Macaca mulatta: one gene and its partners. The protein of the gene in region 3 purifies or fractionates together with the protein of the main gene of each other region. This does not show direct contact. Links are inferred from orthologs where the notes say so. Each region holds a gene or a part of one and is shown on either strand. Other genes may lie near its edges.

Region 1 (6,740 bases), on a different chromosome or scaffold from region 3:
CAAGATATTACCACATATCACACAAAGTTTTAGAAGAGGAATAGAATGTGAAGGGTATTAAAAGTATATGTAGCTATGATTTTCATTTTGTGAAGACTTATTAATCTTATATTGACTTTGGTCTTAATTTACTCATTCTTTCAAAAATTATTTACTGAGTATAAGATATACCAGACCTGTGTTAGGCTCTGAAGATATGGTGAACAGAATAGACACAATTCTTGTCTAGTGGAACAGAGGAATAAATAATAGTTAATTAACATAAACACATAATTACAAATTGTGATAAGCACTATGAAGGAAAAGGCTGTGATGTTACGAGAAAGAATAATCAAGTCTAATTTAGTTGGAAGTGGGTGGCAAGGAGGTTAGTTGTGAGTTTTCAGGGAAAGCCTTATGCTGAGACCTGCATGCTAAGTAGACATTAACCAGACAAAGAGTATATAAAGATTTCTGTATGTGCAGTGCAAAAAGTAGCTTGTTTCCTTTTTGAAAAGTATTGGATCAAAAGTAACAGCATTAGAAAATAGAAATTTGGCCGGATATGGTGGCTTATGCTGGTGATCCCAGCACTTTGGGAGGCTGAGGTGGGAGTATTACTTGAAGCCAGGAGCTTGAGACCCGTCTAAGCAGCATAGTGAGACCTTGTCTTTACAACTAAAAATAAATAAATATTTTTATTCAAAAAAATTTTTAAATATGTTTAAATTTAAGTGGCAAAATAGTGAGTTAGGTTAGTGTTGTATTTTAAAAAATGGAATATTGGACATGAAGCTTATAAGTAGATTAACTTTCTCTTTCAAATTTTAGGAAAGCAGAACTAGAAGCAGCTGTGAGAAAGAAGATTGAATTTGAAAGAAAAGCTCTACATATTGTTGAACAGCTTTTAGAAGAGAATATTACAGAAGAGTTCCTAATGGAGTGTGTATGTGTTAAGTTGACAAATTATTAGTTTTGTAGTATAACATCTTTAAATCTGTGCAACATGAAACTTCTTTGCATTATTAAAATCTTTGAATTTGTTCTCAGTCATTAGATGCAGATAACAATCTATATAATTCATGCATTTTAAAATAAACAACTATCATGCATTCCTTGTATAATGACTTTAAAATGCACTAATGAAAAATAACAAGTACATAACAAGGTGATGACAGGTAATGTATATTTCAAAATTAATAAGAGTGGATTTCAAATATTCTCACCATAAAGGATAAATATGTGAGGTGATGGATATGTTAATTAGCCTGATTTGGTCAACATATACATGTGTTAAAACATCACATACTACCCCACAAATATATACAATTATTATTGTCAATTAAAAAGCAAAAAGAGGCCAGGCACAATGGTTCATGCCTGTAATCCCAGCACTTTGGGAGGCCAAGGTGGTTGGATCACTTGAGGTCAGGAGTTTGGGACCAGCCTAGCCAACATGGTGGAACCCTGTTTCTACTAAAAATACAAAATTAGGCAGGTGTGGCTCATGCCTGTAATCCCAGCTGCTCGGGAGGCTGAGGCATGAGAATCACCTGAACTCAGGAGGCAGAGGTTGCAGTGAGCTGAGATCACGCCACTGCACTCCAGCCTGGGCAACAAGAGCTAGAACCTGTCTCAAAACAAATAAATAATAAATGGAAAAAAAGAAAAATGAGGATGAGGGAGAAAAAAAAAAAGAAAAAGCAAGTATATTTTGCCCTTAGTCGTAGTTCTTTTAACCAGTCTGCTAATATCACTTGATTTTCTTCAGTTTGTTCTATGATTGCAATTCCAGTTTTCTATATTCTGTGTTGTATTATTTTAAGTAACAGAAGAATATTATTTTTGTCAATGTAATTTCATCAATTTTCATATTTCAAAAACCTGAAATACAGATCATTTATGACTATAAAACAGGAGAATTAAGTTCCACATTAATTTTTTTTTTTTTTTTGAGATGGAATCTGTTGCCCAGTCTGGAGTGCAGTGGTGCAGTCTCGGCTCTGCAAGCTCTGCCTCCCAGGTTCATGCCGTTCTCCTACTTCAGCCTCCCGAGTAGCTGGACCTACAGGAACCCACCATCAGGCCCGGCTAATTTTTTTGTATTTTTGGTAGAGATGGAGTTTCACCGTGTTAGCCAGGATGGTCTCGATCTCCTGATCTCGTGATCCGTCCGCCTCGGCCTCCCAGAGTGCTGGGCTTACAGGCGTGAGCCACCACACCCGGCGCACATTAAATTTTTTTAGGCCAAGCAGGATGGCTCATACCTGTAATCCCAGCACTTTGGGAAGCCAAGGCAGTAGGATTGCTTGAGCCCAGGAGTTTGAGACCAGTCTGGAAAACACAGTGAGACCCTGTCTAAATAAAAATTTGAGAATAAAAAAATTTTTAAACAGCTTCACTACATTAAAATTTTGAATGGAAATTTCTTTTATATTCTCGTAATCCTTAAGAGAGCAAATGAAAACTCAAAGCTTCTATTACAAAAACACTTCTTAGTATAGTCCATAGATCTTTTTCTACAACAGGAATATGAACATGACAAGTCATATTTTTATTGACACAGGTAACTGCATCAGTATCTGCATATATGATGACACCAGAAAAGACAAAAGCAAATATGCTTCATTTGAAACATAAAACTTATATCACTCTCAATAAAAAGTATTTCAGTCCCTGTGAAAACAGAAAAATTTGTTAAAAGATCTCAAAGTTAAGAACAAGAATCAAGATTATTTGAACATGAAGATGTCAAAGGAAACTATTTGATGTTAGCTTATAACCATCACCTCACCACTGTACAGATTTTTCAGAAGTGGGAAAATTTTGCACAGACTGTTCAGGAGTCACAATGACACTTTTGAAATACATTGTTGTTAAAGATTATGCTTTAAAAAATAGGTAAAATTATATTTTATTACTTTGTTATTTAATTTTTTAAATGTTTTTTTAAAAATAAAAGATACTGTTGTCATTTAGCTTGTGTATAGCTATAGCATCACTTCTTCCTCATGCCTCAGAATTATTTCACTTAACTATATAATCTACAAAGATGCAGAGACTACTGTGGCAGACTTTTTTTTAATAACTTTTTTTCGAATGCTTACTATATGTTGAGCACTTCTCTAAGTGATTTTGCTTTATTTTCTCCTCTAATTCTAACCTCTAACTTATCTAACTTATGAGGGAGGTACTATTGCTATCCCTGTGTTTTCAGGTAAGATCGATGAGGCTTACAGAGCTGATAAATGAACTTTTCTATTAAACTAGGAGGAAATAACCCTCTCATTTCATTTTAGGGGAAGTTCATTACACCTGCTCACTACAGCGATGTCGTGGATGAACGTTCTATTGTCAAACTCTGTGGTTATCCTTTATGTCAGAAGAAGCTGGGAATTGTAAGTAACTCATTTTTTTTCTTATTTTCAGTTAGCAAAATACTTTGTTGTAAGAATAAGAAATGAAACCTAAGGTCATGAACTAAAGGCATGGATTGGCCAATGATATGATATGTAGATTTGTAACATAAGTTTCATGTTTATTATTTGGATTCTTTTGTAAGCTGTACTTTCTTTTCTTTAGGTACCAAAACAGAAATATAAAATTTCTACCAAGACCAATAAAGTCTATGATATTACTGAAAGAAAGGTGAGTTTAAAGGCTTTCATCGTCGCAATTAATTGTTTTTCTTTACTAACCACTATCCTAACAAGGAATGGCAATTAATTTTTGATGATATTAAATAGGATTCTAAAAGAAACTGTTTAAAATCTTACTGGTTAGAAAATAGTGGTGTTAAAAGTTTGGTTTTATTTGTAAATATTTCAGTCAAGGTATTAAAAATTGTTTTGCTTAAGCTTCAATTAAGACTTTAACATTTAAAAGTTAAAAGTGCATAGTGGCACAAATCTAGGCAAATAAATCATGGAACAGAATAGAGAGTCAGTAACAGACTAAACACATATGTAGACACTTGATATATGACAGCAGGAGTATTGTAGATCAGTAGAGAAAGGATGGATTTTTCAATAAATTATACTGGCACAATTAGTTATGCAAATAGAAAAAAAATGAAAATTGATGCCTATCTCAGTCTGTACACACAGATCAATTTTAGGTAGATTAAAGACATAAATGTAAAAGGTAGATTCTTTTTGAAGACACTATGGGAGAGGCCGGGCATGGTGGCTCACACCTGTAATCCTAGCACTTTGGGAGGCCAAGGTGGGCAGATTACCTGAGCTCAAGGAGTTGGAGGCCAGCCTGGGCAATGGCGAAACCCTGTCTCTACAAAGTAAAGTACAAAAATCAGCCAAATGTGGTGGTACGCATCTGTAGTCCCAGCTACTTAGGAAGCTGAGACACATGAATCGCTTGAACCTGGGAGGCAGAGGTTACAGTGAGCCAAGATCATGCCACTGCGCTCCAGCCTGGGCAACAGAGCGAGGCACTGTCTTCAAAAAAAAAAAAGACAATAGGCCGGTGCCGTGGCTCAAGCCTGTAATCCCAGCACTTTGGGAGGCTGAGGCGGGCGGATCATGAGGTCAGGAGATCGAGACCATCCTGGGTAACATGGTGAAACCCCATCTGTACTAAAAAATACAAAAAATTAGCCAGGCGTGGTGGTGGGCTCCTGTAGTCCCAGCTACTCCGGAGGCTGAGGCAGGAGAATGGCATGAGCCTGGGAGGCAGAGCTTGCAGTGAGCCGAGATCGCACCACTGCACTCCGGCCTGGGCGACAGAGCGAGACTTCATCTCAAAAAAAAAAAGAAGAAAGAAAAAAAATATGGGAAGATATAAACTTGGGGTAGAGAGACTTTATAAAATAAGATGGAAAATTTTAGGCCAAAGAGGAGAAACTGATAAACATTTCTATATTAAAATGTTAAATTTTTGTTCATCAGAAGTTTCAAAAAAAAGAATGAAAAGAGAAGCCACAAAGCAGAATGTTGTTATTTCATGTAACTGACCATAGAATCATATCTAGAATATATGATCTATAAGAAAAAGACACACAAACTAATAGAAAAATTTACACAAGGAACTTGAATGGCTAATAAACATATGAAAAGATGCTCAATATTATCAGTAATCAGAGAAATAGCAAATAAAAGCACATTGAGTTATGTTTTCACAGCCCACAAAATGGCCAATATTAGGAAATCTTTTTGCAACTAGTGGGAATCAAAATTGGTGCAACCTTTTTGAGAAATGGTTTGGCACTTGTCTGGTGAAGTCTTTGCACATTCTTTGTAATTAAGCCTTTCTATTCCTTGGTATAAACCCTAATAAAATTATTACACATGTGCACCAGCATGTATATATAAAAATGTTTATAGCTGGATAAACAATGTGGTATATACACACAATGGAATATTAGCCTTAAAAAAAGGAAAGAAATTCTGACACATGCTACAAGGTGGATGAACCTTGAAAATAATATGCTAAGTGAAATAAGCCAGCACAAAAGGACAAATACTATATGCTTTCACTTACATGAGGTACCTAGAGAAGTCAAATTACTAGAGACAGAAAGTAGAATGATCATTAAGAGAGGTGGGAATGGGAAGTTAGTGTATAGGGTTTCAGTTTTGTAAGATAAAAAGAGTTCTAAAGATGAATGGTGGTAATAGTTACACAACAGTGTGAAGGCACTTAATGCCACTGTGCTGACTTAAAAATGGTTATGATGATAAATTTTATATGATGTATATTTTACCACAATTTTAAACATTTTTTAATTGCAAAAAAGGTTTATAGTAACATTGTAGTGATAGCAAAAAAATTGAAAACAACTCAATTGTCTATAAATGGTAAAGTGTAATACACTAATACAATGGAATGTAGTACACAGTGAAAATTTATAAGCTACAACTACTTGAATGAATCTTAAAAACATAATTTTAAACAAAAGAAGTAGCAAGGTACGGTGGCTCACACCTATAATTCTAGCACTTTGGGAGGCCAGGGAGAGAAGATTGAGACCAGCCTGGGCAACAAATCGAGACCCCATCTCCACAAAAAAATAAAACAGCCGAGTGTGGTGGCATGCCTGTAGTCCAAGCTACTCAAGAGGCTGAGACTGGAGGATTGTTTGAGCCCACGAGTTTGAGGCTACAGTGAATCAGACCCTGTCCCTAAAAAAAAAAAAAAATTTAATAAGTGAATGAAGTAAGATAAGAATGTATAACAGTATTATTCCATTCAAAAAAATGTTTAAAAATAGGAAAAACTGAATATTTTTAATAGGGTTATGTACACAGTGCTAAAACTGAAGGGAAATGAGGAAATGATTAACATCAAATATATGATAGTGCTTACTTCTGGGGAACGTGGAGGGCAATGCAGTTGGGAAGGCACATAGAGGCCTTCAAAGGTTCAGTATGTTATGTCTTACTTTGGGTGGTAGATCTATAGGTTTCCATTTTATTCTTTGAACTATACATTTATGTTTTATACTCTCAACTGTATGTAGGTAATGTTTCACAATAAGAAAAAAACTGGATTTATAATGTTCTTTTCAGTCTTTTTGCAGCAATTTTTGTTATCAAGCATCTAAGTTTTTTGAAGCACAAATTCCCAAAACTCCAGTATGGGTTCGAGAAGAAGAGAGGTAATTTAAGTCATTGTGTATACACATTTGTTCATATATTCTATTCTAATAATTTGTTTCTGCTTTTTGAGATTAGCTGAGAGTAGGTCTAGTTTTCTGTAAAAAGTGACCATTTTATACACTTTAATTATGGGGAAATGGTTATATT
Region 2 (6,740 bases), on a different chromosome or scaffold from region 3:
GTTTCCTGGTGGCCTAAAAGTTCCATTCCTTTCCATTTAACAAGTAATTTTGGTTTAGTGCAGAAAGGGAGGCATCTGTTTTGTTTTGTTTTGTTTTTTTGAGACAGAGTGTTTCACTCTTGTTGCCTAGGCTGGAGTGCAGTGGCACAATCTCGGCTCACCGCAACCTCCACCTCCTGGGTTCAAGCGATTCTCCTGCCTCAGCCTGAGTAGCTGGGATTACAGGCATGTGCCACCATGCCCGACTAATTTTTGTATTAGTAGAGATGGGGTTTCACCATGTTAGGCTGGTCTCGAACTCCTGACTTTAGGTGATTCACCTGACTTGGCCTCCCAAAGTGCTGGGATTACAGGCATGAGCCACGGCGCCCAGCCTGGGATGCATCTCTTAACATTGATTTTTCCAGGACCTGTAAAAGCATCAAAGTTCCAACACACCGATTTGTAACTGATTAGCTACTTCTTCCCTTTTTTGTTTTGGCCTGATGTCATTTGTTACTGTCGCTTCAGAGTTTGGAGGTCCTGCAGTCCTGATATATAATGCCTTTTCCTCTACTCATTGCTGTGAGGCAGTAGTTTCTTCTGTACCTACAGTGCCTCAGTGTTAAAGATTAAAAGAAGTAAAGTTCCTGGTATACAAATAGGCACTCACTGTAGTACATCCCCTGTTATAGGCTGGAAGACAGAAAAAGGTGTTCTGAGGTTTTTGTTTAAACTCTCCTGCCCTCAGGTAGAAAATAGCTTTTGGTTACCTATTTTTTTTATTTAGATTTTAATTTTATTTCAATAGTGCTCCAGCTGTATTGGTAGCCTATTATATTCAGTAGCAATGAGTACCTTTCAAATAAAAATAGACTTTCCTCCTGACCTACCACTTAAACTGTCTGTGTTGTGAAAGGAGAATGAGGCTCTTGTCAGTTACCCGGCTTGAGAATTGGGAAGGCGTTACTCTGAGGGAGGTGTTAGTGATTTCCCCGATAATAAACAGACCTATAGCACGTGTAAATGTGAAATTGCAAGTCATTCTGGCTTTTCCTCACTGTTGCTTCCTTTTCGGTGAGGGATTATAAACATGAATTCGTGTTTATGAATGGTTCCTGCTCTAGGGGAATTCACTGTTAAGAGAAGGACAGATAAAAACGATCTCTAATATTTTGAGATAAACATCAGGAACATAAGATCCTGCAGGAACATAAGGGAGAGAGTGATTTTCCCAAGGGGTAACAGCATTTTTTAACAGAACTATTCTAGAAGTGTAGAAGGTAGCCATATATTATGAAAAGGGGCCATGGGTTTCTTTTTCTCTCAAACCTAATTCTTAAAAATTGCTTATAACATTTGTGTGGGTACAAAAATAGATTTGGGGGTACATTATTAATGTTTATTTCTAGACATTTGGCTCTTTTTAACACGTAACAATTCTTAAAATTGAGAGTATAATACTAGCATTATCGAAGTAGGAAGATGATGAGCTGATGCAGGCTAGAGGGCAGTAATTGTCAGTGTACTCTTGAAATCAGTAACTAGGCTATATGTGTCACTACTTAGTAGCATGTCTAGGTCAGGTTTTTGGTGTCAGAATCTAGTTCAGACAAGCTAAATGTTAGTGTCTCGTGAACTCCACTTTGCCTTGTGATATGTAACTGTGGGTGAATGTAAAGATGTGAGTAGCTGCAGCCATAAAAAAGAACGAGATCCCAGCCTTGGCAGCACGGCGAAACCCCCGTCTCTACCAAAATCATACAGGGCGTGGTGGTGCGTGCCTGCAGTCCAGCTACCTGGCAGGCTGGGGTGGGGGTGGGGGGTCACCTGAGCTCAGGGAGGTCAAGGCTAGTGTGAACTGTATTCATGCCACTACACTCCAGCCTGGGTGACAGATTGAGACCCTGTTTCCAAAAAAAAAATAAAAGAACGAAATCATGTCTTTTGTAGCAACATGGATGGAGCTGGAGGCATTCACTTAAGCAATTAACACAGGAACAAAAAACCAAGTACCTCACATTCTTATAAGTGGGAGTTAAACCTTGAATACATATGAACAGAAGGGAACAACAGACACTGAGGCCTAGTTGAGGGGGTGGATGGTGCGGATTGAAAAACTACCTGTCAGTACTATGCTTATCACTTGGATGACAAAATGGTCTGTTCACCAAACCCTCACAACACCCATTTCCCCTGTATTACAGACCTGCACATGTACCCTGAACCTAAAATAACAGTTCGAAAAAAAGTAGATGTGGGGTAGGAAACCCCTGGATCTCTGCAGGGAGATCATTGTGCATTCAGATGCACAATGAACATTTAGAAGCAAACTTTTGAAGGAGTATTTTCAGCTGCCATTTATGCTTCTCACAAATAGAGTTTGAAACAGCTGAGACACTTCTAAATTCAGAAGTTCATATGCTTCTGGAACATCGAAAGCAACAGAATGAGAGTGCAGAGGATGAACAGGAACTCTCAGAAGTCTTCATGAAAACATTAAACTACACAGCCCGTTTCAGTCGTTTCAAAAACAGAGAGACCATTGCCAGTGTTCGTAGGTGAGTGCTAAAAGAAAGTTTTTATTAATCCAAACCGTTGGACAACTGCATGTGGACTGCTGTCCCCTCCCCCTTTCCCAGGTGTCACCTGTGAATTTAAGTAAAATAATGTTGGGCTGGGCATGGCGGCTCACACCTATGCTCCTAGCACTTTGGGACATTGAGGCAGCAGATCACTTGAGGCCAGATGTTCAAGACCAGCCTGGTCAACATAGCAAAAACCTGTCTCTACTAAAAATGCAAAAATTAGCTGGGTGTGATGGTATACACCATGAATCCCAGCTACTCAGGAGGCTGAGGTGGGAGAATCGCTTGAACCTGCAGGCCAAGGTTGCAGTGAGCCGAGATTGCGCCACTGAACTCCAGCCTGGGTAACTTAGAAGACCAAAATTTCAGCCAAGTGTGGTGGCTTACACCTATAATCCACACTTTGCGGGGCTGAGGTGGACCAGTCTCTTGAGGCCAGAAGTTCAAGACCAGCATGGGCAACATGGTGAAACTCCTGTCCCTACAAAAAAAATACAAAAATTAGCCAGGTGTAGTGGCAGGTACCTGTGGTCCTAGTTACTTGGGAGGCTGAAGTGGGAGGATCATGTGAGCCCGGGAGGTTAGGCTTTAGTGAACTGTGATTGTACCACTTTACTCCAGTCTGGGAACAGATTCAAATATGACTCTGTCGTATTTTATATAAGTCCAGTATGTGTGATCCAAATGGTACTGTTAGTGGGGAAGTAAGGTTTTTTCGTTATTTTTTTGTAGCGATGGGGAGACTTACTGTGTTGCCTAGGCTGGTCTCAAACTCCTGGCCTCAATTGATCTCCCACCTTAGCCCCCCAAAATGCTGGGATTGGCCGGGTGCGGTGACTCACGCCTGTAATTCCAGCACTTTGGGAGACCGAGATGGGCAGATCACTTGAGGTCAGGAATTCGAGACCAGCCTGACCAAAATGGTGAAATCTCGTCTGTACTAAAAATACAAAAATTAGCTGGGCGTGGTAGCGCACACCTGTAGTCCCAGCTACTTGGGAGCCTGAGAAAGGATAATTGCTTGAACCTGGGAGGTGGAGGTAGCAGTGAGCCAAGATCGTGCCACTGCACTCCAGCCTGGGTGGCAGAGTGAGACTCCATCTTAAAAAAAAAAAAGACTCGATCTCAAAAAAAAAAAAAAGCACTTGAATTAGAAGTAAGCCACCATGTCCAGCCTATATATATATATGTGTATATATATAATTTTTTTTGATAACAGTATTTGTACATATGTGTGAGGTACACGTGATATTTTGTTACTTAGAATGTGTAATGAGTATGTTAGGGTGTTTAGGGTGTTGATCATTTCTATGTATTAGGAACAGTTCAAGTCTTCTCCCCTAGCTATTTTTATTTTCTGTATTTATTCATTTATTTTAGAGACAGGGTCTCACTATGTTGCCCAGGCTGAGATGTCTTGAACTTCTGGACTCGAGTGATCCTCCTGCCTTGGCCTCCTCCCAAAGTGCTAGGGTTACAGGCATGAGCTGCTAAGCCCGACCTCCTCTACCTTTTTTTTGTTTTGTTTCATTTTGATTTGAGACAGTCTCACTTCATCACTCAGATTGGAGTGGTGCAATCTTGGCTCACTTCTACCTCTGCCTCCCAGGTTAAAGCAGTTCTCATGCCCCAGCCTCCCATGTAGCTGAGACTACAGACATATACCACCACACCCGGCTGATTTTTTTTTTTTTTGAGATGGAGTCTAGTTCTGTCACCCAGGCTAGGGTGCAGTGGCGTGATCTTGGCTCACTGCGACCTCTGCCTCCCGGGTTCAAGTGATCTTGCCTCAGCCTCCTGAGTAAGCTGGGTTTACCGGTGCCCACCACTGCACCCAGCTAATTTTTGTATTTTTAGTAGAGATGAGGTTTCACTGTGTTGGCCAGGCCAGGCTGGTGATCTGCCCGCCTCGGCCTTCCAAAGTGCTGGGATTACAGGCATGAGCCACTGAGCCTGGCCAATTTTTGTATTTTTAGTAGAGACGGGGTTTTGCCGTGGTGCTCAGGCTGGTCTAGAACTCCTCACGTCAAGTGTAGCCCACCTTGGCCTCTCAGAGTGCTAGAATTAGAGATGCGAGCCATGACACCTGGCCGTCTAGCTATATTTAAATACTGGCTACATTTGATCCCTTTTTTCCTGTTGATTATTCTTTTGATTTTTGTTGTTTCTTTGTTTTTGATTTTTTTGTTTTGATTTTTTTTTTTTTCCTTTTGATTAGCTTGCTACTCCAGAAAAAGCTTCACAAGTTTGAGTTGGCCTGTTTGGCCAACCTTTGCCCAGAGACTGCTGAGGAGTCCAAGGCTCTAATCCCAAGGTTAGTACCAGTTGTGATAAGTTCTCTGTATACTGGATAAATTCCTACAAATAGAATTGGTGTGTCTAAAATGTGTATGCATTATATATTTGGATACATGATTGCCAATATTAAATGAAAGTGCCTTTTTTGTTCAATATTTCAAAGCACGTTTCCTGCTTATTAACAGTGTGTGAGAATGATGGTTTTATACCACACCAAGTGAGAGCAAAAATCTGAAACAGCTGGAACTTCCGTACGCTGATGGTAGGGGTGTGAGTGTTAATTACAACAGTCATTTTGGAGAGCAATTTGGCTGTGTCTGGTAAAGATGAATATACTCCATGTTCCAAATATCCATTCCTGATACATATCTCAAAGGTAACTCACACAAGTTTACAAGGAGACGTATATTCTAGTGTTCATTGCTGCACTGTTTTGTTTCTGCTTTTGTTTTTAGTAGACATGGGGTTTCACCATGTTGGCCAGGCTGGTCTCAAACTTCCGGCCTCAAGTGATCTGCCCACTTTGACCTCCCAAGGTGCTGGGATTACAGGCATGAGCCTCAGTGCCCGGCCTCATGCTGCACTGCTAATGATAGCAGAAATTTGATCATCTCTTAGTCAATAAGAAAGTGGATAAATGAATCGTTGTATAGTCACACAATGTTTATTGTACGGCAGTGAAAACAGTCAGTGAACTAGAACCACGTGGAATATCAACATGTCAGAATGAATTCTGAGGAAAAATGGCAGAAGGATAAACACAGTGTGGTGCCATTTCTTATAAAGTCTGAAACTGTGCTGCATATTACTTACGTATCCATAAATGTGTAGTAAGTATAAAATATGTATGGCAAAACAAATTTTTAAAAAAAGGTATGGCAATGATAAATACTAAATTGAGGATGGTGGTTATTTCTGGGGAAGGAGGGAAGGTATTGGTCTAGGAAAGTAACACAGCCATCCACTTTCCTGCTTATTAAAGAACTCTGGGCCGGGTGCAGTGGCTCATGCCTGTAATCCCAGCACTTTGAGAGGCCAAGGCAGGTGGATCCCAAGGTTAGGAGGTCGAGACCATCCTGGCCAACATGATGTGACTCCATCTCTACTAAAATACAAAATTAGCTGGGCATGGCGGTATGTGCCTGTCGTCCCTGCTACTTGGGAGGCTGAGGTAGGGGAATCACTTGAACCCAGGAGGTGGAGGTTGCAGTGAGCCAAGATTGCGCCACTGCACTCTAGCTTGGCAACAGAGCGACACTCCATCTCAAAAAAAAAGAACTCTGGCCAGGTGTGGTGACTCACTCCTGTCATCCCAGCACTTTGGGAGGTTGATACCATTAGAAAACATGAAGACAGTAAGTGAAAAATGCAGGGCTGGGTGTGGTGGCTCATGCCTGTAATCCTAGCCGTTTGGGAGGCTGAGGCAGGAGGATCACCTGAAGTCAGGAGTTGAAGACCAGCCTGGCCAATGGTGAAACCCCGTCTCTACTAAAAATATAAAAATTAGCTGGGTGAGGACTGGGCGTGGTGGCTTACGCCTGTAATCCCACCACTTTGGGAGGCCTAGGCAGGTGGATCATGAGGTCAGGAGATCAAGACCATCCTGGCTAACACAGTGAAACCCCATCTCTACTAAAAATACAAAAAATTAGCTGGGCATGGTGTCGGGCGCCTGTAGTCCCAACTACTTGGGAGGCTGAGGCAGGAGAATGGTGGGAACCCAGAAGGCGGAGCTTGCAGTGAGCCAAGATTGCGCCACTGCACTCCAGCCTGGGTGACAGAGCAAGACTCCGTCTCAAAAAAAATTAGCTGGGTGTGGTGTCAGGCGCCTGTAATCCCAGGTACTTGGTAGGCTGAGGCAGGAGAATCACTTGA
Region 3 (7,401 bases):
GCTGCAGAGATGAGTTCAATTCCTGGATATCCTTGTTAACTTTCTGTCTCGTTGATCTGTCTAATGTTGACGGTGGAGTGTTGAAGTCTCCCATTATTATTGTATGGGAGTCTAAGTCTCTTTGTAAGTCTCTAAGGACTTGCTTGATGAATCTGGGTGCTCCTGTATTGGGTGCATATATATTTAGGATAGTTAGCTCTTCCTGTTGAATTGATCCCTTTACCATTATGTAATGGCCTTCTTTGTCTCTTTTGATCTTTGATGGTTTAAAGTCTGTTTTATCAGAGACTAGTATTGCAAACCCCGCTTTTTTTTGTTCTCCATTTGCTTGGTAAATCTTCCTCCATCCCTTTATTTTGAGCCTATGTATGTCTCTGCGTGTGAGATGGGTCTCCTGAATACAGCAGACTGATGGGTCTTGACTCTTTATCCAGTTTGCCAGTCTGTGTCTTTTAATTGGAGCATTTAGTCCATTTACATTTAAGGTTAAGATTGTTATGTGTGAACTTGATCCTGCCATTATGGTATTAACTGGTTATTTTGCTCGTTAGTTGATGCAGTTTCTTCCTAGCCTCGATGGTCTTTACATTTTGGCATGTTTTTGCAATGGCTGGTACCGGTTGTTCTTTCCATGTTTAGTGCTTCCTTCAGGGTCTCTTGTAAGGCAGGCCTAGTGGTGACAAAATCTCTAAGCATTTGCTTATCTGTAAAGGATTTTATTTCTCCTTCACTTATGAAACTTAGTTTGGCTGGATATGAAATTCTGGGTTTAAAATTCTTTTCTTTTAGAATGTTGAATATTGGCCCCCACTCTCTTCTGGCTTGGAGAGTTTCTGCCGAGAGATCTGCTGTTAGTCTGATGGGCTTCCCTTTGTGGGTAACCCGACCTTTCTCTCTGGCTGCCCTTAAGATTTTTTCCTTCATTTCAACTTTGGTGAATCTGGCAATGATGTGTCTTGGAGTTGCTCTTCTCGAGGAGTATCTTTGTGGCGTTCTCTGTATTTCCTGGATTTGAATGTTGGCCTGCCCTACTAGGTTGGGGAAGTTCTCCTGGATGATATCCTGAAGAGTGTTTTCCAAGTTGGTTCCATTTTCCCCCTCAGTTTCAGGCACCCCAATCAGATGTAGATTTGGTCTTTTTACATAATCCCATACTTCTTGCAGGCTTTGTTCATTTCTTTTTCTTCTTTTTTCTTTTGATTTCTCTTCTCGCTTCATTTCATTCATTTGATCCTCAATCGCAGATACTCTTTCTTCCAGTTGATCGAGTCGGTTACTGAAGCTTGTGCATTTGTCACGTATTTCTTGTGTCATGGTTTTCATCTCTTTCATTTCGTTTATGACCTTCTCTGCATTAATTACTCTAGCCATCAATTCTTCCACTTTTTTTTCAAGATTTTTAGTTTCTTTGCGCTGGGTACGTAATTCCTCCTTTAGCTCTGAGAAATTTGATGGACTGAAGCCTTCTTCTCTCATCTCGTCAAAGTCATTCTCCGTCCAGCTTTGATCCATTGCTGGCGATGACCTGCGCTCCTTTGCCGGGGGAGATGCGCTCTTATTTTTTGAATTTCCAGCTTTTCTGCCCTGCTTTTTCCCCATCTTTGTGGTTTTATCTGCCTCTGGTCTTTGATGATGGTGATGTACTGATGGGGTTTTGGTGTAGGTGTCCTTCCTGTTTGATAGTTTTCATTCTAACAGTCAGGACCCTCAGCTGTAGGTCTGTTGGAGATTGCTTGAGGTCCACTCCAGACCCTGTTTGCCTGGGTATCAGCAGCAGAAGCTGCAGAAGATAGAATATTTCTGAACAGCGAGTCTACCTGTCTGATTCTTGCTTTGGAAGCTTCCTCTCAGGGGTGTACTCCACCCTGTGAGGTATGGGGTGTCAGACTGCCCCTAGTGGGGGATGTCTCCCAGTTAGGCTACTCAGGGTTCAGGGACCCACTTAAGCAGGGAGTCTGTCCCTTCTCAGATCTCAACCTCCGTGTTGGGAGATCCACTGCTCTCTTCAAAGCTGTCAGACAGAGTCGTTTGCGTCTGCAGAGGTTTCGGCTGCGTTTGTTATTGCCCTGTCCCCAGAGGCGGAGTCTACAGAGACAGGCAGGTTTCCTTGAGCTGCTGTGAGCTCCACCTAGTTCGAGCTTCCCAGCAGCTTTGTTTACCTACTTAAGCCTCAGCAATGGCGGGCGCCCCTCCCCCAGCCTGGCTGCTGCCTTGCCGGTAGATCACAGACTGCTGTGCTAGCAATGAGGGAGGCTCCGTGGGTGTGGGACCCTCCGGGCCAGGTGTGGGATATGATCTTCTGGTGTGCCTGTTTGCTTAAAGCGCAGTATTGGGGTGGGAGTTACCCGATTTTCCAGGTGTTGTGTGTCTCAGTTCCCCTGGCTAGGAAAAGGGATTCCCTTCCCCCTTGCGCTTCCCAGGTGAGGCAATGCCTCGCCCTGCTTCAGCTCTTGCTGGTCGGGCTGCAGCAGCTGACCAGCACCGATCGTCCGGCACTCCCCAGTGAGATGAACCCAGTACCTCAGTTGAAAATGCAGAAATCACGGGTCTTCTGTGTCGCTCGCGCTGGGAGTTGGAGACTGGAGCTGTTCCTATTCGGCCATCTTGCTCCACCCCCCTATAAATTTCTTTATTCAAGTGACCACTATATTGTCATGATAAATGAAATGACATACATTATGCTTAATTCCCAATTTGAGCTAAATGTATAACAGGATTGGTGCATATTTAATCATTAGACTCATTAGAATCTTTTTTTTGAGATGGAGTTTCGCTTTGTCACCCAGGCTGGAGTGCAGTGATGCAGTCTTGGCTCACTGCAACTTTTTCCTCCCAGGTTCAAGGGATTCTCCTGCCTCAGCCTCCTGAGTAGCTGGGATTACAGGCACATGCCACCACGCCTGGTTAATTTTTGTATTTTTAGTAGAGAAGGGATTTCACCATGTTGGTCAGGCTGGTCTCAAACTCCTGACCTTGTGATCTGCCCACCTTGGCCTTCCAAAGTCCCGGGATTACAGGTGTGAGCCACCATGCCTGGCCGAATCATTAGAATCTTAGGACAGAAAAAGCTATATGAAGTTTCTGGTTTCATGAACTTAAAATTTGTTTCTGAAAACTTGAGGTTTTCTAATATCCTAATCTAGCAGTATCTTTATCTCTAGAGTATGCCCAGCTTTTTGCAGCACTGATTGCCCGAACCGCAAAAGACATTGATGTTTTGATAGATTCCTTACCCAGTGAAGAATCTACAGCTGCTTTACAGGTAAGCCTCTATTCCTTTGAGAATTTTACCAGTAATAGAGAATTTTGAATTAAAGGAGGTAGATTTAATACCTTTTGTCTGTGTCCATTTGTGCTGCTATAACAACATACCTGAGACAGTAATTTATAAAGAACAAAAATTAATTTTCTCACAGTTCTGGAGTCTGGGAAGTCCAAGATCAAGGCATTTATTACTCATTGTGCATGAGTAATGAATTTTTATTAAACATGGTACCATGTTTAGGACCATGTTGAGGACCTTCTTCCTGTTTCCTCACATGGCTGAAGGCAGAAGGGCAGAAGAGCAAGAGCTCCCTCTTCAACCTCAAGCCATATTTTAAGGGTACTAATTCCATCTATGAGAGCTCTGCCTTCATGACTTAATATCCTCTTAAAGGCCCCTCCCCCTCTTAGTACCATCACATTGGGGATTAGATTTTAATGTATGAATTTTGGAGGGGACACATTCAAATCGTAGTACCTTTTGTGATAATATTCAATTTTCCCTGATAAGAAAACCTCTTATTTTCCTCAATTTTGTCTCTTTTCCTAGTGAAGAATGAGAGGAGGGTGGCATTCTAGATGTGGAGTAGAATAATGGTGTCCAAACGTAGTGTGGAAGGGAGTTACAGATATCTAGAGATCTCTAATTGAAGAGTCATTCTTTTTAATAATTCACATGGGGAAAATTCTTAAAAGTTATCTGATTTTTAGAATTTTTTTACTGAAAAATATATCACAATGATTGCAAAGTCATCCAGATTTAAAAATAAGTACATCTGCGACAGCTTCTCTCCTTCTAAACTCTAAAGATTTTAAAATTTGTGTTTTACAAAGGCTGCTAGCTTATATAAGCTAGAAGAAGAAAACCATGAAGCTGCTACATGTCTGGAGGATGTTGTTTATCGAGGAGACATGCTTCTGGAAAAGATACAAAGCGCACTTGCTGATATTGCACAGTCACAACTGAAGACAAGAAGTGGTAGCCATAGCCAGTCTCTTCCAGATTCATAGCACCAGTGGATACTATGTGGCTGAGAAAAGAACTATTTGAGTGCCATTAATAATTCTGCATCAGACTTAGATACAAGCCTTATCAACAATTACAGAAACATTAAACACTATGACACGTTACCTTTTTAGCTATTTTTAATAGTCTTCTATTTTCACTCTTGATAAATAAGCTTATAAAATCATGACTGAACCAGCTTTAAACCATCATACTCATTTTTTAACTGAGTGAAATTATTGCGGCAGGTAATGCATTAATGAACATAATATAAGGAAACATGTAAAATTCTATTATGACTTAATTTATGTCTTTATTTTGTTGTATTGGCCAGTACTTTTGCAAATCAAAACATCTCTCAAGCCAGAGGAGAAGACAGTAAGAACAGACATAAGGAACATTTTAGTTTAGGCTAGTGTCCTGCCTCTTAGAAGTGGCATTGTGTAAATCTGAGCTTTGAACAAGAAAGTTTTGGAAATTGTATTGCTCTTAAGAAATAGAGTTAGTGTGGCTGGATAAGAAAGTCACATTTATGCAAATATTTCTTCTTCCAGAACCTCATACCTGTTCTAGTTCATCTCCATGTTTATTTTACCAAGAAATTTCTGTGTCAAGAGAATTTCCTTGCTGTTGTGAAAAAATTTTTCTACAGCCTGAACTATTTTTCCTATTTCTTTTCACCTTGCTTTTTTTCATCCTTCTCCTTAATTTGCTTGTCATCACAATGAAGTATGTTTTTTGAATCAATTCTTTCTCATTCTCTTCATTTATCTGAAGGTTCTGTCTTTTACGCTTATTAACCTCTCAACTTTTATTGCTGTATTCTAGTCAGACCAGAACATAACTTCCACTACATCAGTTACTTGGCACCATTTCACCTCAGTTTATTATTGCCAAATAATACTTTGTGTCAGCATTTTCAACTATGGTTACTCATCCAACCCTTGGATCTCTTTGAGTCTACTGATTATCTCTACTGGAAAGGTGGAATTGAAATGTGGTCCACATTTTAACTGGCCATCTCCTGGGGCTGTATTTTTCAGAATATCCTGAGCTACATTTGCTGCAATCTGTTGCTATTCAGAGTTTAAGTTTCAGGAGGAAAAAAAACAATAGAACACTCTGCCTGTTATTTTTGTGGTAATCAAACTTGTCCACAGTTCTTGAAAAGTACTATGTTTCAAATTTCAGGAACACCAGCATTAACTGTAAAAGTTGCAGCAATTTATTGGCTAGTCATAGAAATTTTTTGAACTTTTAACTATGTGTATTTTCATTGATGTTTATTAAAAACACTTTGCTATCACAGACATTTGGCATAAATCTGTACTCTTCATTATAGTTTTGGGGGGAGAGAAGATTTGATCAGAAAACTTTTTCAAAGTACCTAAGTGTTATAAAGGAGTCAAAAAGGTACAAATAAAAAGAAAAGGTCAAGATATTTTTCAAATGAAGGAGAACTAACAGGATTTATCACTAGTAAACCTGCTCTAAAAGAATTGTCAAGGGAAGTTTTTTTCTAAAAAAAATTCTAAAAAAACAGCTGCTAAAAAGATTTCCCTTCTTTCTAGAAGGGAAATTATAGCAGAAGGAAACTTAGAATGGCGGGAATAAAGAAGGCACAATGTGTAGGGTAAATATAACAGACTTCTCTTGAGGTTTTAAAAATTACATTTGTTAATTGAAAGAAAAAAATTAACATTGTTTTATGTGATTCTCTGTAGAGCATATACAGGTTTGTTTTTTTAAGTTGAATTCTCTGTCACCCAAGCTGAAGTGCAGTGCTGTGATCATGACTCACTGCAGCTTCAACCTAGGTTCAGGTGATTCACCCACTTCAGCCTCTTCACTAACTGGGACTACAGGCATGTACTACCATGTCCAGCTAATTTTTTTCTTTCTTTCTTTTTTTTTTTTTTTAAGAGATGGGGTCTCACTCTGTTGCCCAGGCTAATGTCAAACTCCTGACCTCAAGATATTGATACTATACAGTAGACTATAAGAAATTAAGTATTTGTATCATCCCTAGAGCAACACAGATTTTTTCCCTAAAAACCTACACAGATTATTTTCAAAAGCATCAGTACATTAAGGTAGAATACTAAAAAAGATTCAGGTAACCCAGGAACAAGAAACAGAATAAAACAATAGTAAACCTAAATTTTATTTTATTTCATTAATAAAGCAATAATTAAATGTCAATGATCTAAGCTGATTTAAATCTAAAAACTAGATAAGAAGCTGTGGCTTGTAATTAAAGATAGAAATTTATTCACGACCTACAGTTTGCTTTTTTCATATGTAAATTAATAAAAGTTTAATATCCTACTTCTCTGTTTCAGTTCTAGGCACCACTGTCAGTTAACCCTAAAGATTTTTGTGGGTGAAACCATTTTGATTACCGTTTTGCTCTGCTGCCGGATATGGTAACCAAACTCTTTGTTTCTGGATGTTAAATCTTTCCGCTTGTGCTTTAACTACATCCTAACTCCCATCATCTCCATTGAATTTAAGGAGCCAATTTCTTTTTTTGAGATGGAGTTTCACTCTTGTTGCCCAGGCTGGAGTGCAATGGCACAATCTTGGCTTCCCGCAACCTCCGCTTCCCGGGTTCAAGCAATTCTCCTGCCTCAGCCTCCCAAATAACCTGGGATTATAGGCATGCACCACCATGCCTGGCTAATTTTGTATTTTTAGTAGAGACGAGGTTTCTCCATATTTATCAGGCTGGTCTCTAACTCCCGACCTCAGGTGATCCACCCACCTCGGCCTCCCAAAGTGCTGGGATTACAGCCATGAGGCACTGCCCCTGGCCAGAAGCCAATTTCAATGGGCGTATCCTTTATCACTCCTGACCTGTGATAATAGCCATTAGAGCTTTTCAAGAATAGTACCCCCTGCCAATGATTTTTTTTTAAGCCTTAATGAAGAGAGTGTCCTCTGGGTCCTTCCAGAGAAGATAGGATGTGAGTGAGTAAGTTATGTGTAATTTCACCCCTTGATACCATTCCTTGATACCATTCCCTGTATACCAAGGAAGGATATTCTGGCATTTCACTTTGGTTTAATATAAGTAAATCCTGTGTCTAGGCATTAGTTAACAAACCAAGTGACTACAAGTGATAAGTAAC

The links. The genes of interacting proteins can lie anywhere in the genome.
Region 1: the proteins of MED21 (region 3) and RPAP2 purify together in Homo sapiens (affinity purification with mass spectrometry; 3 studies listed by BioGRID and IntAct, with this or other methods). This does not show direct contact. The link is inferred for Macaca mulatta from reciprocal best matches to the Homo sapiens genes MED21 and RPAP2.
Region 2: the proteins of MED21 (region 3) and POLR2D purify together in Homo sapiens (affinity purification with mass spectrometry; 4 studies listed by BioGRID and IntAct, with this or other methods). This does not show direct contact. The link is inferred for Macaca mulatta from reciprocal best matches to the Homo sapiens genes MED21 and POLR2D.

Annotation. Positions count from the first base shown.
Region 1 is NC_133406.1:148,013,289-148,020,028, reverse strand, and holds part of RPAP2 (putative RNA polymerase II subunit B1 CTD phosphatase RPAP2), read left to right. Parts: intron 1-810; coding exon of another isoform or gene 811-925; intron 926-3,278; coding exon of another isoform or gene 3,279-3,309; coding exon 3,310-3,377; intron 3,378-3,561; coding exon 3,562-3,627; intron 3,628-6,503; coding exon of another isoform or gene 6,504-6,592; intron 6,593-6,740.
Region 2 is NC_133417.1:9,421,420-9,428,159, forward strand, and holds part of POLR2D (DNA-directed RNA polymerase II subunit RPB4), read left to right. Parts: intron 1-2,359; coding exon 2,360-2,540; intron 2,541-4,785; coding exon 4,786-4,881; intron 4,882-6,740. UniProt on the Homo sapiens protein: Core component of RNA polymerase II (Pol II), a DNA-dependent RNA polymerase which synthesizes mRNA precursors and many functional non-coding RNAs using the four ribonucleoside triphosphates as substrates.
Region 3 is NC_133416.1:29,398,062-29,405,462, forward strand, and holds the end of MED21 (mediator of RNA polymerase II transcription subunit 21), read left to right. Parts: intron 1-3,161; coding exon 3,162-3,262; intron 3,263-4,098; coding exon 4,099-4,275; 3' UTR 4,276-5,573; downstream 5,574-7,401. UniProt on the Homo sapiens protein: Component of the Mediator complex, a coactivator involved in the regulated transcription of nearly all RNA polymerase II-dependent genes.